Arabidopsis thaliana: one gene and its partners. The protein of the gene in region 2 interacts with the protein of the main gene of each other region in a pairwise test. Each region holds a gene or a part of one and is shown on either strand. Other genes may lie near its edges.

Region 1 (11,404 bases), on a different chromosome or scaffold from region 2:
TCCAAATTGCAAGAACAAGGGTAGACGAAAGCGTGTCCCAAATATTCAAATTTGTTATTTCTTTGTATAAATGTGTATCCCACATGCATACAAACTCCTTAATATGGGCCATGGTAAATTGATGATAATGAATTACTATGACTTCTTAATAGCAGCACATTTCGATTTGTTTCTCCATTATATACCATCCCTATTAGCTGTTCCAGTATTGTAGTCATTGTCATTTATAAATTTGCTGTCTTCGTTAAGACGTTTGTTATATAAGGGACCCTTTACATAATGAATTTATTTCATATTATAAATCTGATAAAGAAGTAATTAGTTTTGGAGTTGCATATCTAGTTAGTTTTCGAGTATTTTTCTAGTTATTTCATATTGATTGTGCCAAGGTGTCCAAAATAGACCTCGGACGGGTAGTTGTAGCTTGTAGCTTTGTAGGTAAATAAAATGTTCGGATTTGAGGTCCCAAAGTGGACTTATTGTCCCTGTTTTGTTTTCATTGGGATAAAGTTGTTGGTAAAATGTAATGCTTTTAATAGTTAAATCATTTCTAATATCGTGATTACTGGGAAATAATAGAGAAAAAGAAAACAAAGACAAAAGGCAGCGACGTCGTTTCCATAATATCGTGATTACTGCATGAAACACATGTTTCAACAGTACGCATACCAACTCTCAAACTTCAATATTGGAAAGATCCAGTTCATCAGATGCTAATAATTCATATATTTAGGTTTATGTACAGCATAATGAACAATAGAGAGAATTAATCAATAAACAGATCAAAGTATTAATTTGCAAGATAAATGAAATAATGATGATAATAAATGGTAGACTAGTACCCATGTGTAGACATAAACCAACAATTAATGTTGGTCGGCTTAATACCAACTAACTAGAAACCAGTCCGTCATCAATGTATGAATGTACACACTCACATCTTGCAATAATTTTAAAAAGGACTAACAATTTAAATGGTTGCTACATAAATAAACGATATAGCCTTACATAAAACTAGCGAAAAAGGTTGATATTGGCTGTATAACATGCACAGTACTACCAGGCTCTAACATGCTTCAAAATACCGAATGATTCATTAAATTGAAACATTAGAGTAAACATTTTGTCGTGGTCTTGTATTTGAATTTCAGTATATAACTGTATATAATACAATATTATTGATTTTAATGGTTTTTCAAACAATTTTTTTTTTTAATTACTCGAATTTTTTCTTAATCTCGAATAAGAAAGATTAATGCTAATATATGGAATTATAAATATTTGGTCACGATTAATCCGAATCCAACTACGAATTCGATATTGAAAATGTCAATATCATCATATCACCAGATAAATAAATTCTGTCAATTGTTTCTGTTGCCAAATCGTAGTCATTTGTTTTGAATAAATCTATGGATTAACAAATAGCAACATAATAGCGACAAATGATCAAGTCTTTTTATCCGCCACAATTTCATTGCTAGTTTTGTCGTAGACATGGACCATCTATATCCATATTCTTGGCTATATATCCAGCATTATGTATTTTGTAGTAAAATCACTACTTGATTGGCAAATTATTAACCAATCCCATTTATAACAAAACAAAACTTTATACTCAGAATATACTTGGTTCGTAGATTTATAGCTAACATAACTTTTTTGCTTCTCTCTATTATTCTATCATTGTGTGTTTCCAAATTGTTGTCGATATTGTGTCACTGTAACGCTTTGCCAACCGTAGCCATAAAGTGACAACTTTGTATTCAACTATACTCAAATATCGAACTTCCCGAGTATTTTTGACTAATTGAATTGTTTGAACTTTGACTCATAGGTCTGACTAACTCAAAGTAAGCCAACCCGAGTTTTGAGGATGATCGCATATGGCTATTGGCTAACATATGGATCTAAATCTGTAGCAACTTCTAGGTTTGGCTTTTTGTAAAGAATAGTTCTATTTTGCCAACTCCAGCATTTTTTGCTATTCATTATACATTCAACTTTAGTTAAAAACTTTGAATTGAACAACTTGCTATTTTTTTTTTTTTTTGCTTTTGTTCTTCAACGGCTGCATCAGTATTCCAGACTACATCCTCCAATCCAGATGTTTTTGTAGAACTGCAAAAGAGATTTAACTTTTAAGCATAGAAAACCGAATTACAACAAATAAAATTAGAGGTAACTGAACCGGTTGGTAAAGATTAAACCGAAAATATACCTTGTGAAACTCGAGGGTATCATCGCCGGTTTTCCTAAGCTCTACCACGTGCAACGATGGTGCCACTTCAAACACCTATTATAACCGATAACCAAACCAAAATAATCAGGTACCGGCCGTATTCATGAAAATCTAAAACCGTACTAAACCGGAATGTTATCATTCCTATCTGTTTTTGTTCATAACTCTGTAGCTACAGAGTGCTGACCTTTACGAGTTACGACCACTTTTGTCTGCGAAATTTACTTAAACAATGTTTAACAAAGACACAACAACATTAATTGACACAGAGAAATCAAGAAGAAGAAGAAGAAGAAGAAGAACAAACCTTGTAGTTGTCTTGTTGAAATCATGAATCCTTGATTAAATTTCTATAAGAAGAAAAGTTTCAGTGAGAAGAAGATCATAGCAAAGATGAGAAGAGCAAGTCAAAGAAGATATTGGGCTTGTTGTCTTGTAATAAGTAATTGGGCTAATTGCTATGTTAGTCCCATATAAGTAAAGTGTTGTTTAAGTAAGTCAAGTCTAGGTTAGAGTAGTTGTTGTTAGAGTTCCAATACAAGTAGGAGGGTTGTGTAAGAGTGCCTAGAACTAGGAGAAGTAGTACATGTATGTGTTGTGTTGTAAGAAATCATCAATATCATGAATGTAGTCTTTTATTAAAGAGTAAAAACGAGTTCTTGTGTTTGTCTCTAAACAAAAACAAAACAGAGTGAAACAAAGACAGAGATAGAGAGAAAGTGTAGAAACACAACATGTGTTTACTGATATTGAAGCCATTCATCTTCTAGTAACTCTGCAATACTTATACTCTGCATTTCAGAAATACTGTATTACTTTATTTTGCTTAAATTTAGAAATAATTCTAAGAAGAATGGTTCCGTTCTCACATTGTATTTTCAGATAACATTTTTATCGAGGATATTAACAAAACACGCTATCATATAACACTAGTATGGACTCAAATTTGTAGTTGTATCATAAGTCATAACAAAAAAAAAACAGCTTAAACGAAAACTAACGTCAATAGCTTTTACTGTATCCAACAATATCTCACACTAAACCTACAAAATTCTTTTTTTTTTTTTCTCTCCGAAGAATCTTACTCAGAGATTTAAGCCGTGAGTTGGCCAAAACACTAGTGACATATATTCACGTTCAAAAGTTTATCTTGCAAATCTTGGATTTCTTAGTTTCATTATCAGATTAAAACAGAATTTCAATAATGAGGAAAAAGCATACCTACTACTAGTCTACTACTTTCTGCAACAACAAAACAAAAAAACTAAAACCAAGAAAAGCCCCAAAAGATTACCACAAATTAAGGAAACTTAAAGCCCATTGATTTCAACATCTCAACAGAGCTCTGACTTTGATTAACCTTGTTGTCTTGTTGAACCTTGTCACCGGAGTTTCCAAGGAGAGCTTCAATTATTTCTTTAAAAGGAATAATCTCTTCTTTCTCTTTCTCTTTCTCTTTCTTGTTCTTGTTCTTTCTTCCGTCTACTTTCCATTTGCCACCACCCCATTCATACGACGGATCCATCCACGGCGGCAACACCCTCCTCGCAGCCACTTCTCCGGATGCCGACGCTGTTTCCTTGTCTGAAACCCTAGATTCGATCTCTTTCGGTTGATTCGATCTCGCGTAATCAGATTCTGGTGAAGTGGGAACAGAAACCATTACGATTCTTTCTTCCGGAGGAGGTGAATCCCAATCACCCAAAATCTCTACACTCTCTGAATCTGAACGTTTCTCCATTCTTAAAAACTTTGGAATGCGAAATTTGCGACTTTATGGGCTTTACGGGCTGTTTGATTTGAAAGATTAGACAACTCACACAACTTATTGGGCAATTAACGTTGGTCTGCTCAACACCAACTCCTCACTAGAAACCACTCCGTCATCAATGTGTGACTGTACATCAAAATAAAACTTTTTTTTTTTGGTTGCAAACGTAGATCTATGTAGCTAAGATAACCTCTCTTTAATAATTCTATCATTGTGTTTTCCAAATTGTTATATATGTTGTGTCATTGTAACGCGTTGCCATAAAGCGACAACATCGTTGCAACTTTCAACTATACTCAAATAGCCAGCTTGCAGAGTATTTTTTGCCTAATTGAATTGTTTGAACTTTGATTTATAGGTTTCAAACCGAGTTTGAGGATGATCACATATGTGGCTATTGACTAACCTATGGTGATCTACCTCTATAGACCACTTCTAGTTCTAGTTTGGCTCTTTTGTCAGCAATACTTGTATATTGCCAACTCCAGAATGTTTACTATTCATTATACATGTTCAACATTGATTAAAAACTTTGAATTGAACAACTTGTTATTTCTTATTGCTTTTGTTCTTCAGCGGCTGCATCAGTATTCCAGACTACATCCTTTAATCCAGATGAGAAGTTTTTGTAGAACTGCAAAAGAGATTCAAACATAAAACCAATTTAAACACTAAACTAGAGATGTTAACCGGATCAAAACCGAACCGGTTTTTGATGAAGATCAAACCGAATCACATACCTTGTGAAACTCGAGGGTATCACCACCGGTTTTCCTAAGCTCTACCACATGCAATGATGGCGCCACTTCAAACACCTATTAAACCGATTACCAAACCATAACAATTAGATAACGATATTCATCAAAATCCAAAAACCGAACTGAACCGGAGTATTTTTTTCTTTCTTACCTCTGTAGCTACGGAGAGCTGACCTTTACGACCACTTTTGTCTCCTTTCATTTTTATCTGCGAAGTTTACTTAAACAATGTTTAACGAAGCTACAAAGACATTAGTTGACACAAACAAAATCAAGAAGAAGAAGAAGAAGAAGAACAGACCTTGTAGTTGTCTTTACGGACATTAAAGCCTAATGGCTTTGCGGTTTCTTCCATTTTCGACATTATTTCACTCGCAGATCGTTGAGAAGTAAACCGCGTTTCTTTCTTCACAAGTTGCTGCAAACAACAACAAATCAGATTTAGTTAGATAAAACCTATGCATGATTTTAGAAAATCAAGACAAACTGTAAGTAGAAAAAAGTTCTTACCGCTTGCTTCTCGAACAAGTTTTCAAGACTGAACTCGCTTGAGCTAGAGATAAGTTCGAAAGCGTTCATGGATACAGGTTTCTCCTTCTTCTCAGTTACAAGACATTCCTAGAGTAGCAGCACAAAAAGAGTGATATTAGTTGGTAACAATACATTGGTTTACTTAAACCGAACTATGATATACACAACCAGATGGAGAATTTGGAAATGGCGGTGTTTACCTTGGAGTTACTAAAAGCAGCATCAACATCATCTATGGTTATGTCCTCGTCATCTTGGTCAAATGATGGCGGCTTGTACCCTTTCTTGAACCATTCATCTTCGAGCAACTCTGCAATACTTATTCTCTGCATTTCAGAAATAAGTACATACTTAAGCTCTTGCACAATCTATGGTTGGCAGCATGTCATGTTCACATTTTCACAACTATTACTTCATGTAAGAGGCACTTACGGTAATAGGGTTGGGTTCGAGAATACGCTTGATGACTCTCTTGGCACCTTGCGAGAACCATGGTGGGCAGCTAAACTCAGCCTTGCATATCTAAAGTATATATTAAACACCAAAGATGAGACTAGAAAAGTACTGCAGAAGATCAAGAAGCAGAGGGAGAGATAATTTACACGTACACGTTTGTATAATGTCATGAGATTCGGCTCATCAAAAGGCAAGTAACCAGCCATAAGCACAAAGAGAATGACACCACAAGACCAGACATCTGCTGCTGCACCGTCATAGCCTTTGTCCGACAAAACCTGCCAGCAAATCCAACACAATGCAGTAGACAACATTAAAGGCATATCTCTTATATACATCATAAATAAAGAAGATTCTGCAAATGAAGTCTATATATACGTATAGCATTTGTTAGATTTCCTTCCTTTTTAAAAACGTATTAGCAGTTCTTGAATTCCTTAAAATCTTATTTTCCAAAGAGGATCTACAGAACATTTCATATTCTTTGCCTTTTTAAGTGCTGAAAGTTAGTACATAATACCTCAGGGGCAACGTAGTTTGGCGTTCCACAAGCTGTATGAAGCAAACCATCTTCCTGCATTCAAAAGAACAATGCTTAGAACACTTCATTCAAATTGATATCTTGGTTATATATATCAGAAATTAATTGCCAAGTGAAAAATATAATGGCATTACCCGAACTTGTCGTGAGAAGGCGCTTAACCCAAAATCAGAGACTTTCAAAACCCCATTTGCGTCAAGGATCAGATTTTCAGGCTGCAACAAGGAACAGATGATAACAAAAGAAACTTGAATAAGAACTAAGAAGAATGAATATCGTAATCACAGGAAACAAGAAGAGTGCACAAAAACAAAAGAAAGACCTTGAGATCTCTGTGGTAGACACCTCGACTGTGGCAGTAATCCACAGCATTGATGAGCTGCTGAAAATATCTCCGAGCTTCATCCTCCTTAAGCCTCCCTTGTTGCGCCTATGTATATGATTTAAATCCAAGAATTAACATAAGAGTAAGAAGAGAGAAAGACAGAGAACATATGTCAATATTTGTGAAGAGAAAAGAGAGGAAGATTCTCTAAGTTAGGTTACTTACGATTTTATCAAAGAGTTCACCTCCATTGACAAGCTCAAGAACGATATAGATCTTCGTTTTGCTCGCCATAACCTACCACAGAGAGATGTTTTACACGCTAAGATTCAAAACTTAATTTAAAAAATATCTAAGGAATGATAACTAATTAGTTTCGTACCTCAATGATTTCAACCACATTTGGATGTTTAATCAGTTTCATTGTAGATATTTCTCTTTTAAGCTGCACAACAACAAAAAAATAAAACTTTATGATCATTATATCTTCGAGATCTTGCTCATAACTTCCAATCATACATATATAGCATACAAAACTAAATCTTCAACAGATTCAAATCGAACCAAATCAAAAACAAAGCTACTCGAACTTCAAAACCATATCCATATCATAGTTAATAGTTATCTTGATCAATGCGTACTAAGATCAGCATCGTGTAGATATATACAGAAACAAAAACATTCATACAAAATTCGATATTTTAAAATATTATTGTTAACACTTTAATCAAACATTAACCTTAATAACCGAACACCAACCTAGGAGGACATGTGGGTCCCTAATCACGAAATTAAACTGTTCTTTATAGTACTTAAAAACAAACAAATCCATAATCATTTTACGTGATCAAACCAAACACAATTAACGAACCTGTTCGACCATTTTGTGACGGAAGACCTTTTCTCGGTCGAGGATTTTGATAGCGGCTTGATCTCCGGTGACGGTGTTCTTGGCGTATTTCACCTTAGCGAAGCTTCCTTCTCCGAGAGTTCGTCCCATCTCGTAATTCCCTACTCGCGTCCTACTCGCCGGCGTCGCCTTCCTTCTGCTTCCACTCATTTTCTTTTTCCGATTAAGAAAATCAACGGCTCTAGATCGGCGGCGAATCTATCAATGTGATTCTTCTCCCTCAATATCTCTCCTTCTTCTAGTGGCTGCCTGGTTTTAAGGCTGACGAGAGAAAGTGGACGAGCGAGAGATTTAATAGGCGCGACTGGGAGTCACGCGCGTATTGTGGGTCCCGTATGCCACGTAATGTCAAAAATCATTATTTTGCTCTGTTCCGCGTCAGTCCCGTGTTATTTGTACTTGTGTACGTTCGTAACGTTCATTCTTCATTCATATAAAAAAATTCCATAATTTTGTTCTTGTGTGGTAACTATATACAGAAACTCCTGTTTAAGTATATGGATTTTATGAAAATTTTGGGGTTTTAAATTTATGTGGATATGGTTTTATTTGTAAGGGATGTGATTTGATGTCCTTAATCTTTATGTGTATATGAGTATATCTTTCAGTGATTCATTCCATTCTACTGATGTTCAAAGTTGACTGTTATCATATTATTTGATATAGTTGTATTCTTTTCATGTAGAAATATTCTCTAAATATAACTTTTTTTTTTGTCTTTAGTTAGAAGTTGGAAACTACCTAAGAACAATAAATACATATATCAAATGTTGGTAGTTAAATGATGATTGTTATATCTTGGTCAAATTTTGTTTAAATCTATGATAATATTCGCATATACTTACTTTTGTTTAAATTTGATGTAGCTGTTTATTTTTGTTTGTAACGGTTCTAAATTTGATTATTTAAAGTATATGATAATAAATAAATAGATAATTGAAATAGTTGATCTTTCCATGTGACGATGTGAGTAAAGGGAACGGTATGAATATGAACCCCACATATCCTTCCTGATAAACTCAGAGATTTCACAGAATGTGATAATGTTTTTATTTTTCTTCTTTCCTTTATTTGTTTCTCTTATTTTCTTTCATATGATAATGCCAAAATACGCAGAAAAATTAAAAAAGTGTGGCAGACAGTGTGAGTTGATGATTTATTGCATGACTAGTAATAATGATACAATAATTTTTTAGATATGTTAGTATATTACGAACAAAAGAAAATGCAAATAATGCACAATGAACCACTCGTTCCAATAATTGAGTCCGGTACAAAAACATCACGTCACCATCATATGAAAGCAATTCATTTGGTTATCAATTTGAACTTCTTCATTCCACATTTTTTTTATTTTCCTGGTTATGAGTTGGAACTTATTGGATTATATGGATTAAAATTTAAAACCTATATAAACCAAACTATTATTTGGTTTGATTTTGTATTTACTTTCGGTTTAGCTTGGTTTGTAGATAGTTCGAGTAGACCGAACATCCGAGTCCTACATATATAAGAAAGATTGGCCCATTAACCAAATTTAGGCTTGATTGTGAATTAACATTAGGGCCCAACTAAAATACTTTTTTTTTTTTTTGCCATCCAATAACATTATTATCGCATATGTTCCGCATCATCGTTTACACAAATGATCAAATTGACCAAGTTAAGTTTCTTTTCTCTTTTTCTACATAATATTTGTTATTTAAAGCATTTGTATAAAATTATATACTGATAAGTGATGGTATATTCAATAATTTGTGTTTGTCTTTTTGTGATACAATTAATTATCCTTTATGGTTCCATTTTTTTTTCGTTGACAACGTTGAACAAAGATGGTCAAGGGGCCTAACTGTTTCTCACACAGTTTCCTTTCAGGGTTTAGTATTTGCCGTTTTAGTAACGAAGTTAGAGATTCATACGTATAATTATAAATAGTAGAGTCGGGTCAGATTGTGTTTCTTATCTAATTGTTATATATATAAAATTTGATAAAGCATATAATGTCTTGAAAGATTCAATCGTGAAATATGTGTACAAATATGTAAAATCTAGTTGCACCGCACGGCACCTTTTTTTCCTTCCTCTCCCACGTTTATTCTCGCCTCGTAACAGAAATTATAACTTGGAGTACTATTATAAAATACCTCAATAATTTTAGTTCTAAAAACATGTATATCTAAATCTAAACCATTGTGTATTTTGGAGTTGTAGGAGTTTTTTTTGTAGTAATTTAGTAATACATAACATAAAATGTGTCTTATGTTTAGATTTGCCTTTCATACATTGACCAACCTAAATCGGAGTCGGACCAGCTGGAAACTGGTCTAAATGTTTAATCGAGTTTTAGGTACCCTATCTAAAACCCAAACACAAACTCAGTTTTGCTCATAAATAATCTCTAAAAACCAAACACATTTCGTTAGAAAAACGACTAAAAACCGAGTTTAATTGAAATATACTTTCTAAACCGACCTACACGAACCGGAACCCGACTGCATATATACTTACTTACTCATACACTCTAACAATATAGAATCTATTATTGTCATCCATCTTTTCTTTCACTTCACCTAACTCCCAGTAAATTAATTAATAAAAAGGCGAATCATAACTTGTTTAGATCCTCTTGCAAATGAACCACGAAAGCAGCATGAACACGAATATGAAGAAGAGGACAAGGAAGGAGAAGAAGAGTACGTCGTCAATGGTGTTCTTGTATTCGATGATTGTGAATATATGTGGAGGATTGTTTCTAAGTTATTGGCTTTACAAATACCATCCCACAAATTCTAATCTTTGGATGGTTCCTGTTGGACTCATCTTCTTCATCACTCCTGCGTTTCTTTCCCTCTCCATTTTGATCTCCGATCTCTGCGACGACGATGATGATGTCAATCTCGACCTCAACCAAATCAAGATAATTCTATAAAAGTTTTGACTACTTCAAGTGTTGTCGTTTATTTGGTATTAATTATTATTAACCTCCGTACAAATGGAAGACTTGTGGTTTTATTGTTAAGTTTGTAGATTTTTTCACCTTTGTTTCCGAAACATTTGGTACTTGTGCGACAAGTTATCTCCCCATAGTCTTAAAAGATTAACCTATTTTTAAGTTCTTCAAAATTATATCCATAATTCCCATATGATTCTCTTTTTCTCAATCCTCTGTTTTGTTTAAAGAAGGGTACAAAACAAAAGACTAACAGAGTGGGACGGCTACTACAAAAGACACGTTATCTTCTCTTAATATCAACATAAGGGATACAAAGCGAACATCATCTATAAGGACTACTGTTACCAAAAGATCTACACGGAGGAATCCGAAACTGCGATTACAAGGAAGGACTAACATCAAAGTCGTCACACTACTATACTGCCAATTCAAAAGGTCACTAGGATTTGTCTTAATGTTTTTGATATCAAATGCGTCATTTAATACTTCTAAGGATTTTATGGTGAAAGGAATCACATACGCACCATATTTCTCCATTTGTCCTTAAGATCGGAGGAATTACGAGTTGTGTGGAATATACCTTTTCCCATCTCCAAAATCTTCTTCCAAGGCATGTTTTTGTTGATTGTATCAGAAAATTTCTCCACTCCCTCCTATCCAAAATAAACATATACTATAAGTTTAAGCTAAAAGTGTATTTCAAGAAAAAAGTGTGGTGGTTTTACCCTCAACATCTTCTCTTCGTTGACTGTCCATAGTACCCTTTTTGGCTGATCATTAACAACAGCATAAGCTTCTCCGCAAGATTTCTCCATATCAATGAATTGATCTGTTGACTCGTCTAACTGGGAATTTCGAGCCTTAAGGTGCTTGACCAGTTCTTGTAATTGATGAAGGTTCTCATGTAGTTGCATTGG
Region 2 (9,495 bases):
GATCACACAATCCTCCAATCAAAGTCCTATACGAGACCGAATTAGGCGAGCAACCGTTAGACAACATATCATCAAGAACTTTCCTAGCATCCATCGCACGATCTTCTCTACAAAACCCGAGAATCATCGTGTTGTAATGAACAAGATCAGGATTACAACCTTTTAACTTCATCCTACATAGAAGCTTATAAGCCTCTCTAAGCTGTGTCTTCCTACACAAACTGTTCAACAATGTCGTGTAACTTAACCTATCAGGCACGAATCCTTTATTCAACATATCATCAAGTAATTCCATAGCACCATTCACTTGACCTTTCCTACAAAACCCTTGTATCAGAATCTTATAAGAATCCACATCAGGGACAACATCTCTCTCAAGCATTTTACCAAACAGTTGGTATGCAATACTCAAATCATCATTCAAACAAAAAGCTTGCATCAATAAATTGTAACTTCTCGTGTTAGGCATTACTCCATGAAGCCGTGAACTCTTGAAAAGCTCAAAAGCTTTCTGGAGATAACCTCTATGGCTTACGAGAACATCTAGAATCCGATTCAGATGTTTTGGCTGCGGCGTGAAATTGAACTCCAGCATTTTGTAAAACGTACTTAAGACTTTCTCCGGTAACTTTGCTTCTGCGTAGACTTTGATCAGATAAGTGAAAATTTCTCCGGTTAATGGATAACCACTTGATCTGTGTTTGGCGAGAACGTCGTCGATAAGATTGAAATATCTACCACGGCCGAGTTTGAGAATGAGGATTAGATGAGAAGATCGAGAATGGCGGAAATTGGGCTGTTGAGAAGCATAATCGAAAATCTCCTTGGCGAGGAGAGGATCCGATTGCGAAGCTATGAGCTTTTGAACCCGAGTCGGAGACCCGATTGGGGATTTAGGGTTCGAGACAATCGGTTTTCGAGCTTCATGTTCAGATGAAGAATAGAACAGAAAACGCGAGGATGTCGATAACGGAGAAGTTAAGTGGCGAAAAACGGCGGCGAAGTCGTAGATCGGCCGGCGAATCATTTGTCGGAGTTTTTTTTTAATAAATCGGCCGTTGGAAGTGAGACTTGTATCAGTCAGCAAATTATCAAATATCTCTCTGTACACAATAGTTTTAGTGTAGGCCCAATTTTATAATGGGCTTATAATTGAGGCCCAGGTAGCATCCACAGCATTGTCGGTGACTACAGTGTCGGTGGTGCGGTATCTCAGTTAGTGTGATTAAATAACAGATTCTTCTTAAATGTGATTATTATTTATTTTGGAAGCTTACTAATAATATATGGAATTTGGTCAGAAGTATTGTTGGAGATGTGGACATAAAAGACTTGTACTTTTATTTTCTAAACATTAGAACAAATATGACACATGTGGTATCTAATTAATTTATTATTAATTGCTTTATACAGTTGATAAAGAATTGTGAAATATGATAATTTAATTTTCTTTCTACATAACCGTATTCTGGCATGCAAACAGATATTAGGTTATTGCTAACTTTGACAGGCCGTAACCTGATAAATTTCATTCTAATTTTTTTAAAAATTAACACGGCCAAAAAGTGATAGTTATCACGTTGCACGAAACCATAGTTGTCACCAAATAAGTCAATCATTGACAACAAAGTATTTGATTATGTATAGCCATATGTATACACGTTACATTGGATTTTTCATTTTTAAAAAATTCATCACTCATCAGATCCGTCACGTGAACGGTTGCACCGAGATTTGGAGTCTTTCGAAAGTACTTCTCTATCTTATATTATTACATTAAGTATTATAACAAAATAAAATCACAATGTAAAAACAGTAGTAATTTACGGCTACTTTATAAAAAGATTAGCTTTAACACATAATTACAACTACAAGCTTTCTAAGTTAATAAACAATTAATAAAACTGTACTCTAGAAGACTGTTTACTCTTATTAACTAGAAAAGAGACAAAACCTTGCATCTACTTATCTTCTTTCTTCTCCTCCTCCTTCTTTAGAGTCTTCACTCTTCACCGAACCCTCTGATTCTCGTATAGACACACACATACCTATACATACACACTTTAACACTTATATCTGTAGAGTATAGCCATGGGAGAAGGAGAAGCAAAAGCAGAGCACGCAGCCAAAGCAGATCACAAGAACGCTCCCTCCGCTTCTTCAACGCCAGAATCTTACTCTAAAGAAGGCGGAGGAGGCGGTGGAGATGCTCGCCGCGCAATCTGCGGCGCGATCTTCACCATCCTTGTCATACTAGGTATCATAGCCTTAATCCTTTGGCTCGTCTACCGTCCACATAAACCACGTCTCACCGTCGTCGGAGCCGCCATCTACGACCTGAATTTCACAGCGCCGCCGTTAATCTCAACCTCCGTTCAGTTCAGCGTTTTAGCAAGAAACCCTAACCGGAGAGTCTCCATTCACTACGACAAGCTCTCTATGTACGTAACGTACAAAGATCAGATCATAACACCGCCGCTTCCACTACCACCGCTTCGTTTAGGACATAAATCTACGGTTGTGATAGCTCCGGTGATGGGAGGCAACGGTATACCAGTCTCGCCGGAAGTAGCTAATGGTTTAAAAAATGATGAAGCTTACGGCGTCGTTTTGATGAGAGTGGTGATTTTTGGGAGGCTACGTTGGAAAGCTGGTGCGATTAAGACTGGACGGTATGGATTTTACGCCAGATGTGATGTGTGGTTGAGATTTAATCCATCTTCTAACGGACAAGTTCCTCTTCTCGCTCCTTCAACTTGTAAAGTTGATGTCTAGTCTTAATTTTACTTCGTTATGTTTTCTTTTTTAATCTTTGTGTTTTAGAATTGTAATCTTTTTTTTTTGTGGTCATGTTAGTGATGAGTTTCGTCGAGTCTAGTGTTAAAATAAATTAAAAGGCATAAGCCAAAAATTATAAGTACAAGTATATTACTAATTTTATATTTTACTTGTGATAATTATTTTGTTTCTCTGTTGTTGGACCTGTGGATGTTAATTAATGACATTTGACAATACAAATGTGTTGTCGCTAATAGCGTATCTTGGCATATGGTGAGTTCATCGACACAACAGCTCAGAGTGTTTGATCAGACATATGGCATCTTCAGGCAAATCTCATTTTGGTTTTATCATATATATATTTTTCCCCCATTATTACGGAACTATTTCCTCACGATTATAATTAAATACTTAGAATATTACTATGCTTTTCTGTTTTCCGATTCAATGATATTGTTTTTTTGTAAATCTGAATCGGACGTTAGGAGTCTTCTGAATATAAGTTACATTTTTTGAATGAAGCATCCGTTTAAAACGAGTGACTAAAATGATCGTGACTCCACAAGTCATCGCGTCAAATGTAAAATTTTCATGTGAAACAGTGAAAGCGTCAAATCTAAATAATATTGTGGATGATTGTTGTGAATTTGATTAGTTGACCTGATTCAAAAATTTGATTGGTATATCATGTCAATTTTTTCTCTTTGGTTTTGGCAACTTATATCATGTCCAATTTCTTTTTGTGTTACCATTTTTCTCGAATTTTCACACGTTTGTTCTTTTTCTTTTTCCTCTTTTCCTTTTCCAAAACCCCATTTTGTCTTCACGAACCGATCTTTGCTTTTAAGTTTTCATATCACAGCTTTAGCTTTGTGGTTAAAAACAATTACTTTCTATCCTCGTTAAATATTAAAGATTTCTTTCGATAGTTAATATGTTTATATAATAATTAACCTTCTATATTTCTTATAACAAATTACCTATGTGATTTTCGGATAAAAATATTTTTAAACAAAAACCTCTAGCAAACACCTCATCTGATTTTACCGGAGAAAGGTTGGGAAAATCCTCGGAATGTCCCTGTACAATAAAAGTTAATTTTAGAATAATTATCTCGATTTATAAAACAAGAAAAATAAAATAAAAGAAGATAATAGTAATATATGCATAAACACACATATATAAAAGCTGTTTTTGAAAGATGTATATATATTACTTTTTTTGTAAAACGAAAGATGTATCTAAAACATGCAATTTATCAGCGAATATTAAGAAAATGGTTAGGAAAAACAAACAAACGAATTACTTCAAGAAAGGGATAGTCATGTTCTTTAGTGTCAAAGGATAGGTGGCAACAAAATTCTCCCATTCTTCCAAATCTATTATCCCATCTTTTTTCCAATCGGCCTCTTCAAATGTCTTTGCCAAATATAAGTAAACAAAAATAGTAAGTAAAATCACTATAATGTTAAATCAAGCTCATAAACTTAAGCGTTATACACACCTTAGACACGATAGAATCAATGATACTCTCGGATAGCATAAGTTCTGATTCCTCTAGAACGTCTATTATCATCTCTTTCACCTATAGATTTCTCCAAGTCGAGGAAAACCGTCAAATATAATTAATCATGACTTTTTCTTTTTTTTGAGACAAAGTTTACATACGTACCTCCTCCGGTTCAATGAATCCAGTCTCACGAGTATCGTATAATCTAAATGCAACTGTTTAATTTTAAACAAGTGATCAGATGTATTTGTGGTTATAGTTAATAACATTGATCTCTAGCTATATAGAAAATAATAATAACATGGAATAAATGAATAAACACATTAGAAGTGATGAAGCATACATATGGCCTTATCTCTTGGTGATGAGTTTGGGTGAAAAATGTTGAGTGTGTGTACAAACTCTCCAAAATCTATAGCCCCATCGTTTCTCATATCGAATAATCCAAAAATCTGCATATTTCAGAGAAACAACATCAATCGAAGTTTATTTATTTATTTCGCTTAATATAACAAATTCAATTACCCGTTCTGCAGAAAGACTGCGCTTTTTGGTATTCTTGATCAAGATAAATTGAAATTTTTCCTGGAAAAGCCAACCAAATTTGACATGACAAAAGCACAACTTTTCTATAACTAGCTAGTATAAAATTTAGATGTTATATTATTCACATTTTGTTGACCAAAAAAAAATTATTCACATTGTGGAAGAAAAATTAGTTTGGACTCTAACTTTGGTCAAAAGATTGTCGTTGCTAAGACAAGAAGTGAGTTTGATGAACAATCCATGCAAAACTTCAACCTCAGCCTCGCTAACTGCAAACCCAAAACAATTTAGATGTTATCTGATCTACAAGCTCGTGTAATAATATTCTTTCTCCATGCAATATAATATATAGGAGGAGGAAGTGGTGGATGATTGAAGTAGACGTAACTTACAAAAGGTTTGAGAAGCAAGAAGCGAAATGTCTTCTTGCCTTCTTCCTTCTAATTGCTTGCTGCAAACACATCCCATTTTACTATATCAATATATATTTCAAATTCCACATACATTTAAGTGTGTCTATATATATAGGCATCAACGTAGGTGCAAGAAATTGTGGAATATAAATCTATTTCTAACCGAACAAATTCGAAAGTGGAAGGGTTTGTACATTGCCGGCTTAGGAAGCTGGAGACAAATGGTATAATTTATATCGGAATTTGATACTAGTTCTTTTTCTATGAAACTTCATTTTCTTTCCTGAGTTCTTTAAACATATTCTTTTTCTATGGTTTATATTTTCTTGTTGATTCAAATTTTTTTCTTGTTACTTGATACTCAAAGCGGGATGTCCATGTCCATTAGCTCAGTCCAATAATATCCATTTCGATATTGGACAAATAGTGTCTATGTCCACTAAGGTCCATGTCCATTAACGTTCATGCTCATTAAAGCTCATGTCCAACTGGGCTGTCCAATGAGCATAACATAACCAAATTTTAACACAATAGTATTTGCTTCATATTTCAACCAAATTATCAAATCCAAAAGCAAATTTAAACAACAAAGTATTAAATAATTTAAGTATTAAATCCAAAAGCAAATTTAAACACAATTCAAGTATTTAACAAAGTATCAAATCCAAAAACAAATTAAAAGCAAATTTAAACTTCTTCTTCTTCTCTCTCGCCATCTTTGTCTTTATTAAGGAACTCAATATTATCACCTAAGTACTACAGAAAAGAAGAACTCAATATGCATTAAGATTCAAATTGATTGAAATATGACAAAAGAAAAGAAGTCAAAAGCTTACCAATCTCTTCAAAGTTGCATAGCCAATTCCTCGCACATATCAAAGCTTGAACTGTAGAAGGAAGAAGACAACTCCGATACTTGTTTAAAACCCGACTTCCTATGCTGAATGAAGACTCTGAAGCTACAGTTGTAATGGATGAAACACGCCCACGGGCCGCCCGTCCATTTTGAGAGCTCTATTGTTTTATAAAAATGGATGAAACTTTAGTAGTATAATAGTATCTCTCAATGTTATTGACTAACCCAATAAATTTATATACAAAGATATAACAATAAATATTTACTTTCTTTTCAATCGATCTCGTTAACTCTATGATATCCTAAAATTATTTCAGTTATTGACCAATCATATAGAACCAGAACCAAAAAAAGTTGATTACTGGTATTATATTCTTTTACAAAAAAAAAACGTTACGATAGCAAACAAATGTTATATGATAATTCAGATTGTATCTCAGTCTACAAGTATTTTGTAGCGAGAATGCAAAATCTGAATTCTGTTTTAAAAGTGAAATTCTTAAGGAACTTTTTTAGGAAGAACACATCAAATCACCAACTAACGATGTGAGCATGCCAATTATCACGACTGTGCATTCAGGATCTTGATTGATTAACGTTTCTTGCCTTTATTTTTAACAAGTTTCCCTTGCAGACCTTGTTAAATGTTTTGTATTCATATTTTCTTTTATTCTCGAAAGCATTAATCACATACATATACCACAAAGAAAAGCTACATGAAAAGTAACTAAAATTGAATTCAAGATACTTAGGGAAATGTTTGTGTTAGGGATTAAGCGAAAATGTGTTTATTCGTCTAGTCATTCTAATTTTTGTACTTGCACCGTGTATACATGTTATTGAACAAAAAAGCTGGACAAGGCCCACAACTTTATTTGTTGGGTTAATATGTAAACTTATATGGTCTTTGGTATAAGTCGATACCTTCGCATTAATATGTAAACTTATATGGTCTTTGGTATAAGTCGATACCTTCGCATTTTCATCACTTGAAGGTGTGATTTAGTCATAAAAGCTTAACCTTGATTTGCAGAAAAGTGATCACATACACTTGAATCTAGCGACAAGTAAACGAACAACTTTTGGTCACGGTCGCTGATTTATGTCGCTATCGACATGTAAACAAACAGGACCAAAGTCATGACATCACCATTTGTCGTTAATTTTGTTTGTTCCTCTTTTTTTTATTATTTTTTTTTTGAATATCTGACAGTTCAAGTTCGAATGTCCTATATTTTTTAGAGATGAGATCTACATGAAGTTAAATTCATGTCATTTAGAGAAAAAATCCCTTCCAACAGGCGTCGAACCCATCAGCTCTATCTCAAAGATTTACTACTGGACCAATACCACGTTGGTTTTGCTTCTTCCTCTTCTCGTGAGATTCTTCTACTTCAATGCTTCTGATTCTTCTATGTTCTTAATCTTTCAACAAATACAGTAGTACCTTTAGGATCTGCCCAGAAGGCTGCGGTATCTTTGATCTCCCTTACCAGGCCCCAATCTTCTCAAATCCCATAGCAGTAAAACAATTAAGAATCGTTGGACTTAGGCTTATCTCAGAGATTTTAATGTAATGGGTTATAGATTACGACCGGCTTTAGATTCCGAGGCATGGCCGACAGTTTAGATTCGTAATGATTTAGATATAGTGCAGCCATTGTGCTTGAGCTACGTACATACGTCCATGTCAACGATCCACTAGCTAGTCTTCTAATTAAATTATTTGTTTTTCTTTAGTATTACTTTTATTTTGTTGGTCACTGAGTCATTAGACTATTTTGTATTAGTCACAGTAATGACACACTTCTCTTTGATCTTTGGGCAAAACCCTACTAAGAAAATTACTAGGGTTAAAACTAGATATGGTGTATGAAAGCATTTTTTACTTTCACCGATTTCTCCAAATTCAGGTATTGTTAATTTTAGTGTAGTGTTCATAGAAATATTTTTTCTCATAAGAAATGAAACCGATTTAGAGTAAAAAGTAATTAAGCATATCAAACAACTTCTAACAGACGCAGAATTTAAAATATAGCATTTTTGCGATTCCTAGTTCCGTTTTTTTTTCACTTTTTCTAACAGGTTAGTTGGATCTTCACGTTTGCGTGTTGCAAACTAAAATTTGACTATCCTGTTCAGGACAAAATTTGTCTCTTATATCTAGTAGAATGTCACTTGTAAAACTTCAATATCGTCGCGAGCATATTAGCTAATAGATCTTTGTAGAGTTGTTATTTTTTGCCCTTTTTTGTTTCGCTAAAATCAATGTATGAGTTGTTGTGCGTTGTATATATATGCATGTCCTTGTCAATACATGACAAATAAATTGGACATTCATCATTTATACTTTTTTTTCCAACAGATTCATACGTATTATATTTGTGTAACTTTTGTATAGTTTGGTCTAGTTGTAGACACGTCGGTATCAATTAACTCATTAAAACAACATATGAATATGAAAAAGAAAAAAAAATATAAACTTGTCGTAGTAGAATTTTCAACCTTTATAGATATCTTTTGATCACATTTTTAATATCTCTTTCCATGTAAAATAAAAGTTCGACTTAAACCAAACAAAGAAAAAATGAAGCTTGACAAGCAATATATAACATGGTATTTTAAGATGGTTTACAAAAAAAAAAAAAATTAACATATTTTAGAGTAAATTATTTGGTGTTCTAAAAAAAGAGAGAGTAAATTCTTATGTAATAAAATAACTCGTGAATGGGACATATATATTATAATGATATATAACAGAATTTGTCTGTTAAATTATGGTTTAGTTTCATAAATTAAGGCATATGAAATTATGGTTTAGTTTCACAAATAATTAAGAGACACTATATATTGTATTAAGTTTTTATATAAGTTTCTCTTTTTTACAAGGTTCATTTTTTTCATAATGGCATTTGGTTCAATTTTCGCTTTAAAATGTTATTTTATATATATATCTATATCTATATATATATATATACAGAAAAACTTTGATAAACCAACTTTTATTCAAATTTATCTTTTTTTTTCTGATGGAAAGTATAACTTACTCACCTTTTTAGTTTCTTATTTAAACTACTAAATTTAAATCCGGATTTAAAGATTCCTTTGAAAATGATCTACCACCAGTAAATTAAAATATATTCGACATAATTTTAACACTAGTGATAAAAATTTACTACATATGTTGATATTATACTTAGGTTAAAAAAAAGAAAGATATCCTATGTGGCAACCACCTACAAACTTTATTATAAATATAAGTAGATGGCAAGGCGTGTGGTTGCCAAACACAAAGAAAAACATTCGACATTACAGAAAAGAAAAAACTATAAGAAAATCTTAATTAATAAAATAATATATTCAGGAGGGCGAGAGAGAGAGAGAGGGATGAT
Region 3 (10,631 bases), on a different chromosome or scaffold from region 2:
AGTCACTCAATCCTAAAAAAGTGGACCTCACTTCATTGAAATTGAAAAGAAAAAATAATTAACAAACTCGATCGATCAACTAACAGAATTAAAACAAACACTCCAGCAAAAGTTAATAATCAAACAAAAGTGGACCTCGATTAATCTCAAACAAAAACCCTTCACGTAAATTAAATACTATATATATATATATATATATATATATATATATATATATATATGCGTGGTTCAACTTTTCAACAATCCACGTGAGATAATTTTATCTTTTTTGTTTGTTCTTATACATTTGATTGAAGTAATTGGGAGAGAGCTAGAATGCAAATTGTAAGTGATAGACAACTCCACCTAGTAATAGTTCGTTTGTTAACCTCTCACCATCAGTTTTTTTTTTTTTTCCTTTCATGTTAAAAGAAATCTACTTTTATTTCCCCAACCTTTGAAAATTCAACTTTTTACTTTTTGCAAGACAAACGCACTGTTTTTCCTCTGTGACTTAATAAAAAATTCGAGGTGTTTATCTTGAATTTGAGTTGTAGGACGTAGATAATTGATTTTGTCACGAGTATATATGATCAACGATGATATTATTCGTTTTTAGTGGCCTAGTTTCTCATCTGATAAACTTTTCAAACAACATGTCATATAGTTGTTGCGCCATAATCAGTAATTCTTTCTCTATCGGTGGGTGTGGGAACCACAAACGGATCAAACTTATAAGTTATATTAATTAGAGTCTGAACGAAAAAAATCGCGTAGGTTATATATTATTTCCATTCTCTAACGGTTAATTTAGTGGCGGCCGGTGTTAGACATGTTTTTGTTTTCTAGGGTTGGCAAGTACAATAACAATACATGTTCTGGAGTGAAGTGAAGTAGTTGTCAAATAGAATTTTAGTTTTGAACAAATTAATCCTTGATACTTTTTTATGTAACTATTAATTATATGATATAAATAATGAAAGGTGATCAAGGGCTGGGAATGTCGTGGTTGCATGCATGGAACTTGGAAGGTCAGCTGCTTCTGCCAAACTTATTCCCCGCTCCCCCAGTGATATGACCTATCTGCCCTCACATTCTTTCAATCAGATCCTCTATGTCCACAATTATTGTATCAAACAAAACTGTTGCCAGATGGAAAACCGAGATTGATCGAGCAGAATCACTAACCGAGATATATCAATCAACGTTGTAGAAAGTCCTAGCAGACATTGTAGATGTAGGTAGTTTTGAATATATTGGTTATATTTCTAGCTAATGAATGCATTTTGTAACTTCATATTTACAAGAGTTCAATACAATTATTCCACAAGTCCTTTCGTATTCTTAGTCTCATCAACTTATCAATATATCATATCCTTAACACATGCTCATGATGAATTTGGTTTTACCCAAAAACCGGTCTAGTTAATCTGATCCGAAATTAATTTGATCCATCCATCACCTTAAGAGAACACATATTAGAAATCCTACACTGAAAACAGAATGAGACCAAGGTAATTTATCAATGGATATGGATCAAACCCACTTACCAGCAATAGGTTTTGATAGGAAACCCTTCAAATTTAGCATGTAAAACTTTAGATCGAACCACTTTGGATTCAAATTAGATGGCACATATTCTACTACTTTAATATCATGTAAAGATTCATTTGCTTTCAAATCAAAACCAATGTGTGGATTGATTAGTTATTTTATTATCACAACTTTGAATTATAATTACTGTCATCTATCTATAACATAAACTAAAATAATAATGTACATTACTATATATGTTTATTATATAGTATATCGCAAATCTTGATATGGTTATGGATATATCAAGTTTAATAATGTATGCTCACCTTAAAACGTATATACTCCCGACGAATAATGAACATTAGAGTTTTAATTTGTATAATAAGATATGCTTGGTAGAAAACAAAAAAGGGAAATGTGCTGAAAAAAGGGAAATGTAAACATGCATGAATATGGTAAAGGTGGCGTAATTAAGGAGTAAGGACCCAGTAATATAGTGGATATTCGAGAAAAACTTTTCTACGTGAACAAAAATAACCTACGTGTAAGTTATCCTCTCTATAAAGCCCTCATCAAGTCTCTGAGTCCTTCAACGACTCATAACTCATAGCTATATCTTGTCTTAAAAAGAAGAAGCAAAGAGAATTAGTGGAGTACGATAAGCAGAGAAGTATGTTAAAGGTGGTGTTGTTGATGATGATAATGATGTTGGCGTCACAGTCCGAGGCTCAGCTGAACCGTGACTTTTACAAGGAAAGCTGTCCATCATTGTTCCTTGTCGTGAGACGAGTCGTGAAACGGGCCGTGGCCAGAGAGCCTCGCATGGGTGCTTCTCTCCTTCGTTTGTTCTTCCATGATTGTTTTGTCAATGTAAGGCACTTTTTTTCAATGCAAAAACGAAGCATGCTTTGTATGTTCCCATGAATTACTCCTAAAACTTAGTAAATGCTAAGCATATGATTTGATAGGGGTGTGACGGATCCTTACTGTTGGATGACACACCGTCTTTTTTGGGAGAGAAAACCTCAGGACCCAGCAATAACTCTGTGAGGGGGTTCGAAGTGATCGACAAAATCAAGTTTAAGGTTGAGAAAATGTGCCCGGGCATCGTCTCATGCGCAGACATTCTAGCCATCACTGCTCGGGACTCCGTTCTCCTCGTTAGCACCTCTACCCTTTTACTCTTTGTCATGTCTTACATAGATGCATGTAATAATTGTTGAATGGTTAAGTGGCTTAGTGATTCGGATTCATTTATTTTACCTAGCTAGAACCAGAGTTCGAATCTTCTAGTAATTAATCAATTGTCCCTTTTCAAAACTTAAAAAGAAGGGTAAAATTGTAGTGCAACTTGCATCTTTTTCCTTCTGATTTTCTTGTAAATCATTGATTTTCTAAATCATTCTCACATACATCTAGCCAAAATAGCATAAATCTACCATTACTTTACGAATTCCTAACAAGATACTTTTACATTTTGGTCGATTTTACAGCATATGAACACGGACCAATTTTTGTTTTTTGTTTTTCCCTTTGTTACAAACCCTTCAGCCGACCAACATTTATCTAAATGTTTAACACTTCTTAATATGACTAAACAGCTAGGTGGACCGGGGTGGAGCGTGAAACTTGGAAGAAGAGACTCTACGACGGCGAACTTCGCGGCCGCGAACTCCGGAGTCATCCCTCCTCCGATCACTACCCTTAGCAACCTCATAAACCGTTTCAAAGCACAAGGTTTGTCCACACGTGACATGGTCGCCCTCTCTGGTGCTCACACCATTGGACGAGCCCAATGTGTTACATTCAGAAACCGAATCTACAACGCAAGCAATATCGACACCTCTTTCGCCATCTCTAAACGGAGGAACTGTCCTGCCACCAGTGGCTCCGGAGACAACAAGAAAGCCAATCTTGACGTCCGCTCTCCCGATAGGTTCGACCACGGCTTCTACAAGCAACTTCTGAGCAAAAAAGGTTTGCTTACGTCAGACCAAGTCCTCTTTAATAATGGTCCTACCGACTCGCTCGTCATAGCTTACAGCCACAATCTCAATGCCTTCTACCGCGACTTTGCAAGGGCAATGATTAAGATGGGAGACATCAGCCCCCTCACCGGATCCAATGGTCAGATCCGCCAAAACTGTCGGAGGCCCAACTGAATGATTCTCTTTTATATTATCCCAAGCCCATTGAGCTCAATAATCACCTCTTCGTCAACTGTTTTTTCATGTGCATTCCCCTTCTTCGTCAACTGTTAAAATACATCTTCATTATATAAAAAACAATAAACACGTAAAAGTTTGTGACTATGCAGTTTTCCATTATAAATTACTGTCTATATTCTCTTCTTATTTTTTTTTTTTTTTTTTTCTCTTCTTACTTTGGCTGATTGAAAGAAATAAAACTTTTAAATTTAGTTGAGTAGATGATTTGTTATAAACTCTATGCTACGATTTTTCAAATATTAGTAGATAAAATATCATTAAAAAAAAAAATGGTGAGCAAACTATCATAAAAATATATGATGGCAAAATGTGAGCCGTCGGATGAAAAGTGAATAGGCGAATGAGAGGACAAGTGTAAAAAGTCATAAGGTAGACAAGGACACAGAGGAACAAGTGGCCTCTGCTCTTCTGCCTCAATTAAAAAATTATTTTTATTTTTGATGTGCGTGGACCGCCAATGACGTTTAACTTCGTTTTCATCTCTTCTTCTTCTTCTTCTTCCGTCTTCTCCTCCATTTTTGTTGGTAAACCCAGAAAGAAATAAGGAAGAGAAGGGGCCTTTAGGGGCGGATAGAGAGATCTACACGTCTTTCTACTAGATCTCGGATTCATTCCCAGAATCCTCTTTCCTCACCGGTGATTGTCTTGATCATATATGTTTTGTTTTCTCCTTGCGAATTGTTGATTACATGTTGAAATTTAGGGTTCTCTGATTGCCGATCTATGCTTTTTCTCTTTAATATAGAGGTAATGCGGTAATGGGGGAGAATTATATAACCTGAATGATCGGTTCTGGTTTAGGGCTTTAGTGGTTTGAGAATTTGTGTGTGTGTTTTGATTGATGATTGCGTTTTGACTCGTGATCGATACATATAATTGAGTTTAGATTTGATCGATACACTGATTGTTGTTGGAAGTAGATCTCATTGCTTTGTTTTTTTTTTTACTTGACAGGCTCAATTCTACCAAGTTTCTAAGAGGTTTATTCATATTCGGCATAGAAACTCAGAAATGGTGGAGGATGTGTCCTCCTATCACTAGGGGATTAGCTGCACGAGCTCATGAGGTTATGACTCATGAGCTACCTCCAACTCTGAGCTATCTCTGGATCAAGTAGTTTTTTTTTTTTTGGAGCCTGTTATAAGTTTGTAGATTAGATGGAAAATAAGCCAAGTGTTTTGACTGATAAATATGATGTTGGGAGGTTATTGGGTCAAGGTACTTTTGCCAAGGTGTATTATGGAAGGAGTATTCTTACTAACCAGAGTGTTGCTATCAAGATGATCGATAAGGAAAAGGTTATGAAAGTTGGGCTTATCGAACAGATCAAGAGAGAGATCTCTGTTATGAGGATTGCTAGACACCCTAACGTTGTGGAGCTATATGAGGTCATGGCAACAAAAACGAGGATCTACTTTGTTATGGAGTATTGTAAAGGTGGAGAGCTTTTCAACAAGGTTGCCAAAGGGAAATTGAGAGATGATGTTGCTTGGAAATACTTTTATCAGCTTATCAACGCAGTTGATTTTTGCCACAGCCGAGAGGTGTATCATCGTGACATAAAGCCGGAGAACCTATTGCTAGATGATAATGAGAATCTCAAGGTATCTGATTTCGGGTTAAGCGCCCTTGCTGACTGCAAGAGACAAGATGGCCTCCTCCACACTACTTGTGGTACACCTGCATATGTTGCTCCAGAAGTGATCAATCGAAAAGGCTATGATGGCACAAAAGCAGATATTTGGTCTTGTGGTGTGGTTTTGTTTGTCCTATTGGCAGGCTATCTACCTTTCCATGACTCCAATCTGATGGAGATGTACAGGAAGATAGGAAAAGCAGATTTTAAGGCACCAAGCTGGTTTGCTCCAGAAGTACGGAGGCTGTTGTGTAAGATGCTAGACCCTAACCCTGAAACTAGAATCACCATCGCAAGAATCAGGGAGAGTTCTTGGTTCAGAAAAGGTTTACATATGAAACAGAAAAAGATGGAGAAACGAGTCAAAGAGATAAACTCTGTGGAAGCTGGTACTGCAGGTACAAATGAGAACGGAGCAGGTCCAAGTGAGAATGGAGCAGGTCCAAGTGAAAACGGAGACAGGGTCACGGAGGAAAACCATACAGACGAACCTACAAATTTGAACGCTTTTGATTTAATTGCCTTGTCTGCTGGGTTTGATCTGGCAGGACTGTTTGGAGATGATAACAAGAGAGAATCTAGATTCACATCACAGAAACCTGCTTCAGTGATCATATCTAAGCTGGAGGAAGTAGCACAGCGATTGAAACTGAGCATAAGAAAGCGAGAAGCAGGTTTGTTCAAATTGGAACGATTAAAAGAAGGAAGAAAAGGGATTCTGTCGATGGATGCAGAAATATTTCAAGTGACGCCAAACTTTCATTTAGTGGAAGTGAAGAAATCAAATGGAGATACTCTCGAGTATCAGAAATTAGTAGCAGAGGATCTTAGACCTGCTCTGTCAGATATTGTATGGGTTTGGCAGGGTGAGAAAGATGAGCTTACTTCACAGCAAGAGACAGAATACCAACAACAACAACAACAAGAACAACAAGAACAGGAAGAACCATTGAAGTTTTGAAATTTGTTCTTGTCAAGTTTTTGGAATTTTGCTTAACACTGAATCACTGATGTTAATCGTATATGAGTTTCTTACATTTTTAATTTGTGGAAAAAAGGAATCCATCATAATATAAAGAAGTCGTTTAAAGAAATTCTCAATGGCAAGACTTTTGAATTGAGAACTTCAATTGCTTACTCTACAGCATTACAGGAAGAACAAGAATCTAAGCCATATCCTCCACTCTCTTTGAAACTGGGATAAAGGCTTCGACTTTATTGAGATTTAGTAGTGAAGACAAGATCTATAGTATATAGTACAGAGACAATATGTAAATTTGGTGCCGTCGATTGCAGTTCAATTAAACAGTTACAGACAATAGAGAGACAGATAGAGAGTAACAAAACTCAAGAAGAGCGTTTGGCATTTGAACAGAGATTGTTCCAGAGATAGCGACCACTTGCCATGTCAACGCATGTCCAAAATCCAGACTTCATTGCCATTCCCACCTGAGCCCATAAAATCAGAAAAACCCATTAATCCCCAAATTACAGAGAGAGAATGAAGATCGGAGGAAAAAGAAGAAACCTTGGAGAATCCAGAGACTGAATCGTCGTCGGCGTGTTCAGCGTCGGTGAAGGAATCATCGAGAGGATCGTCAGAGGTAGAGTTGAGCTTCTGGAGGACGAAGAAGCCAGCGAGAGTCGCTGAAAGGAATATGAGGATAAGCCTTAACGGACACATCTGCTTCTTCTTCTCTTTTCTTGATTTGCTTTTTCCAGTTTTTGATGAAGACAATCAGGAAAGAGAGAGATAGAGGAGCTGATGAAGAAGAAGAGAGAGAGATGAGGAGGGAAAAAAAAGGGTAAATAACAAAAAAAAAAAAAAAAAAAAAAAGGTAAAGAAGAGAAAAATTCAAAGGGTGGAGTTGTTGAAGAAGTGTCAAATTAGGTAGGCCATTCCCTAAAGTCACCTCGAATTTTCAATTTCATATACCTAATAACCTTATATGTCCTATTTTATATTTGAAGTTCACTTTTTTTTTTCTTTCTTTCTGGTTAACAAATTATATTCTGACAGAATAATTTGGCCTACTATAATTTTTTGTTGACTAAAATAAAAAATAAAAAAGTTAGTGGTTTGGGCAAACCTAATCTGTCAGAACGTGAGAAAAACATTTTATGCTCATTTGCTCAAGTGATGGCTTTGACAAATAAAAAGATAATAAACAAACAAAAACATAAGTGATTGTTGACAGTTTTCACTAACTTAGTCGGATCATCATCGTCACACCATTCTTCTTTATCTCAACATTTTGACTTCTTCCTTATCCTTTATTTTGCCATAAAGAAAAGACGAGCCAAATAATTCTTTATAAGAATCTGAATCTTGATTGATCATTATTACATACTATGGAAAGGGGTAAGAGACAATCCTGACCTTGGTTTTGAGGATTGCTTTGAGAACCTAAAACTTTGCAAACCTAGCAATTTTAGCAAGGGCAGTTCTTAAACTTCCTATACCTGCTCCTGATCTTGAGCTCACCATCATCTGCAATCATTTAACGTTAACCACTTGCTTCTTAGGTTTCATCTTTTACTGCAGCCACAGAGGGAAGTAAACAACAAACTAGGTGAATCATATTCATACATACCAGAGGCTGGACAATTGATCTGTTTGCCTTCAACTTCTGCATTTTTTAAAGAAAAATAATTGTTGACATTAGTAAGAACATGACCAACATATTATTTTTATACATTGCCTTCACTATATTCATTTAGAGTATAATGAGTAAGACCTCTTCGATTTGCATTGCTCGACGTGCCACATCAATTGGGAAAACCACATCCGTCTTGGTTAAGACTATCTGATACTTTGTATTCGATCTGCAATTCAGTTTACGGCTTTAAGGAAACTTCATTACATGACCTAAAAAAAAATTAAGAGCAGTATCAATTATTTTACCTCTCCATCAGATTAATCAGTTCCTGGTCTCTTGGCTTCATACCCCATTTGGTGTCAACAAGGAGGCATACCCGTTTAAGACTGGTTCTTGTCGAGACATATTCCTTTACCTGCATTGATCAAAGTTAAACAGATGGGGAACATTAACCTGTTTAGTAATACACGAAACTGGGCAAGCAATTTAGACATAATCATTCTCTAGCCAGGGGTAGATGCTCACAAGATCTTCCCATGCTTCCTTAACTTCATCTTTTGCAAAGGCAAAGCCGTAGCCTGGCAAATCAACAAGGCGAACCTTCGGACCAAGACCAAAGAAATTGATGGTCTGCACTTCATAAACCCTTTGTTATTACAAAAACATGTACGCCATACAAGCAAGTAGTTCTCAGACAGGGGAATACCTGGGTCAGTCCTGGTTTGTCAGATGTTCTTACAACACCCCACTGTCTGGTAAGAGCATTTAGCAGAGACGATTTGCCAACATTTGACCTTCCTGATCAGAGTTAAGACACCAAATATCCCAACTTTTTAATATAGTTTAGTGTTATTAAAGTAGTTTAACATGCATATTCTAAAACTCAGAAAAAGTTTTTTTTTGTTGATATTTCTATAATCCTGGTGGGAACAACATATTGAACGCAGTACCTGCAAATGCAATCTCAGGTACATCAGGAGGTGGAAATGAAGATGAAACATTTGCAGCAGCAAAGAATTCCAATTTATTCCTAAATACCTGCAAATGGGCAATTGCAACATTAGCTCAATAGTCTAGCAGAGAAGGCTTATTATCTTGAGGTATTAGAGAAAAGGAATGAAGAATAAGAACATACACTTTCTTCTATACGTTCTCTCTCTGTGCTGGTTGACTGAGGAATATTATCTAATGGAGCAGGAAGCTCTGTGTTATAGCCGGCCCTCTTTAGCTCAATTAAACGTCTACGCCCCAACAGCTGTCGTAAAATGTATGTTATCAGCCATCTAATGAAAATATCACGTAAGACACCATAAGAGAGATAGTCATATAAATTACATTTTCTTCCACATAGGAGAGGATCGAATGACTAGGCTGAATTGCACGAAACTGTGCATTTTTCGACATTTCTACACTTTTAACTGCATCTTTTATGTTCTTTACTCTAAGGCCATCTGAAAAAAGGAAAAGAAACAGCAAATTAGTAAAGCAGCAATGAGATGTAGCAAGTAAAACAGTTTCACAACACAAAGAACTAACCATCAAGAAGGACATCATCAACAATTCTTTTATTTGAGGTATCATAAGGATCAAGTCGTATCCTCTTTCTCTTCCTTGGTTTATCCTCCTGAACATCTGAACCATCTCCCACAACTCTCTTCTCTGAAAACACCTGTTTTCTAGCCTTAAAAGACGGCACATCAGAACTTTCCCTGGGACTCACATCTACATTACTATCCAATTCATCTCTCTTCCTGTAGCTCTTTCGAGTAACATCAACCCCACTCCGTGACTTTGTTTTAAACACACTAGTTGCAGCATCATTAGCGGTCTTAAAACTAGAAGTAGACCCTTGGTTTCTCTTTGAAGCAACCCACATCGTGCGAGGGATTTCATTCACATGGTTATTATGCTTAGCCTTATTGGGGTAGACCCTCTTCTTCTTCATAGACGAAACCGTAGTCTTCCGAGAGTTAGTGTCATCATCACTGCGTTGAGTAATGGATCTACTCTTTCCTTTATAAGAAGAATTGGAGCTAAACGATGAAAGCTTCAGCCTTTTCTTGAGCTTAAGACCTAAAGAAGTATCTAAAGACATTCTGTGATAATCGTGCTGAAACAGAAGAAACAACTGTAGAACTCTACCAACTTAAATCACCACACAACAGCATCGATTCCGTTTAACACGAATAAATTTGGTTGAAGCAATGGCGAAAAAGTGAAACCTTTGAGGGGAAGCTTGGATAATTGGAAGAAATGGATACCAGGGTTTAGTTGCTGACGAAAACAGTCTTAAACCCAACAAGAAGCTCACAACAACAAAAAAACGTGAAAAGAAAAAAATGAGAGGCGGCGAGAGAATTAGGGTGGATGAAGAGGAGGGCACGTTTGTCTTTTCACCTTTCATATGTATTGGATTGGCTTCAATCTTTTGTAATAGCAGACGAACCACAAACACTTATTCCGGTTTAGGAAATTTTTAGTTCAAAAAATAAAAATGAAAAGTAATTTAAATAGATCAAATTTGAAAACTAATTCAAATAGATCAAATTTCAACTCATAAAAATGATATTAGATTCTTACAGACCACTTGCTTATAGTCAAAAACAAATGAGGTTTATCCTTCCAAGAAAATTGTAGCTTTTCGTCACACTG

Evidence for each region.
Region 1: the proteins of CBL5 (region 2) and CIPK9 interact in a two-hybrid assay, tested with the Arabidopsis thaliana proteins (one study listed by BioGRID).
Region 3: the proteins of CBL5 (region 2) and SIP1 interact in a two-hybrid assay, tested with the Arabidopsis thaliana proteins (one study listed by BioGRID).

Annotation. Positions count from the first base shown.
Region 1 is NC_003070.9:59,829-71,232, forward strand, and holds CIPK9 (CBL-interacting protein kinase 9), read right to left. Parts: upstream 7,798-11,404; 5' UTR 7,685-7,797; coding exon 7,496-7,684; intron 7,070-7,495; coding exon 7,007-7,069; intron 6,922-7,006; coding exon 6,850-6,921; intron 6,730-6,849; coding exon 6,622-6,729; intron 6,515-6,621; coding exon 6,434-6,514; intron 6,333-6,433; coding exon 6,279-6,332; intron 6,037-6,278; coding exon 5,911-6,036; coding exon of another isoform or gene 5,905-5,910; intron 5,825-5,904; coding exon 5,735-5,824; intron 5,629-5,734; coding exon 5,503-5,628; intron 5,390-5,502; coding exon 5,282-5,389; intron 5,190-5,281; coding exon 5,073-5,189; intron 4,980-5,072; coding exon 4,923-4,979; intron 4,829-4,922; coding exon 4,742-4,828; intron 4,648-4,741; coding exon 4,570-4,647; 3' UTR 4,339-4,569; downstream 1-4,338. Other genes in the region: AT1G01130 (CBL-interacting Serine/Threonine-kinase), read right to left, coding at 2,077-2,121, 2,222-2,296, 3,729-3,983; AT1G01150 (Homeodomain-like protein with RING/FYVE/PHD-type zinc finger domain-containing protein), read right to left, coding at 10,287-10,457, 11,012-11,140, 11,213-11,404. UniProt on the Arabidopsis thaliana protein: CIPK serine-threonine protein kinases interact with CBL proteins. Binding of a CBL protein to the regulatory NAF domain of CIPK protein lead to the activation of the kinase in a calcium-dependent manner. Involved in K(+) homeostasis under low-K(+) stress.
Region 2 is NC_003075.7:576,217-585,711, forward strand, and holds CBL5 (calcineurin B-like protein 5), read right to left. Parts: upstream 5,306-9,495; 5' UTR 5,303-5,305; coding exon 5,227-5,302; intron 5,104-5,226; coding exon 5,021-5,103; intron 4,874-5,020; coding exon 4,814-4,873; intron 4,741-4,813; coding exon 4,632-4,740; intron 4,504-4,631; coding exon 4,451-4,503; intron 4,364-4,450; coding exon 4,283-4,363; intron 4,198-4,282; coding exon 4,085-4,197; coding exon of another isoform or gene 4,081-4,084; exon of another isoform or gene 3,859-4,080; coding exon 3,822-3,858; downstream 1-3,821. Other genes in the region: AT4G01400 (oligomeric golgi complex subunit-like protein), read right to left, coding at 1-1,027; AT4G01410 (Late embryogenesis abundant (LEA) hydroxyproline-rich glycoprotein family), read left to right, coding at 2,092-2,775; UMAMIT29 (nodulin MtN21 /EamA-like transporter family protein), read left to right, coding at 9,491-9,495. UniProt on the Arabidopsis thaliana protein: Acts as a calcium sensor. CBL proteins interact with CIPK serine-threonine protein kinases. Binding of a CBL protein to the regulatory NAF domain of a CIPK protein lead to the activation of the kinase in a calcium-dependent manner.
Region 3 is NC_003076.8:23,592,801-23,603,431, reverse strand, and holds SIP1 (SOS3-interacting protein 1), read left to right. Parts: upstream 1-4,078; 5' UTR 4,079-4,379; intron 4,380-4,697; 5' UTR 4,698-4,900; coding exon 4,901-6,340; 3' UTR 6,341-6,470; downstream 6,471-10,631. Other genes in the region: AT5G58390 (Peroxidase superfamily protein), read left to right, coding at 2,188-2,385, 2,484-2,675, 3,117-3,677; AT5G58375 (Methyltransferase-related protein), read right to left, coding at 6,727-6,828, 6,908-7,063; AT5G58370 (P-loop containing nucleoside triphosphate hydrolases superfamily protein), read right to left, coding at 7,787-7,870, 7,974-8,009, 8,118-8,205, 8,285-8,394, 8,505-8,609, 8,686-8,777, 8,930-9,017, 9,115-9,234 and 2 more. UniProt on the Arabidopsis thaliana protein: CIPK serine-threonine protein kinases interact with CBL proteins. Binding of a CBL protein to the regulatory NAF domain of CIPK protein lead to the activation of the kinase in a calcium-dependent manner.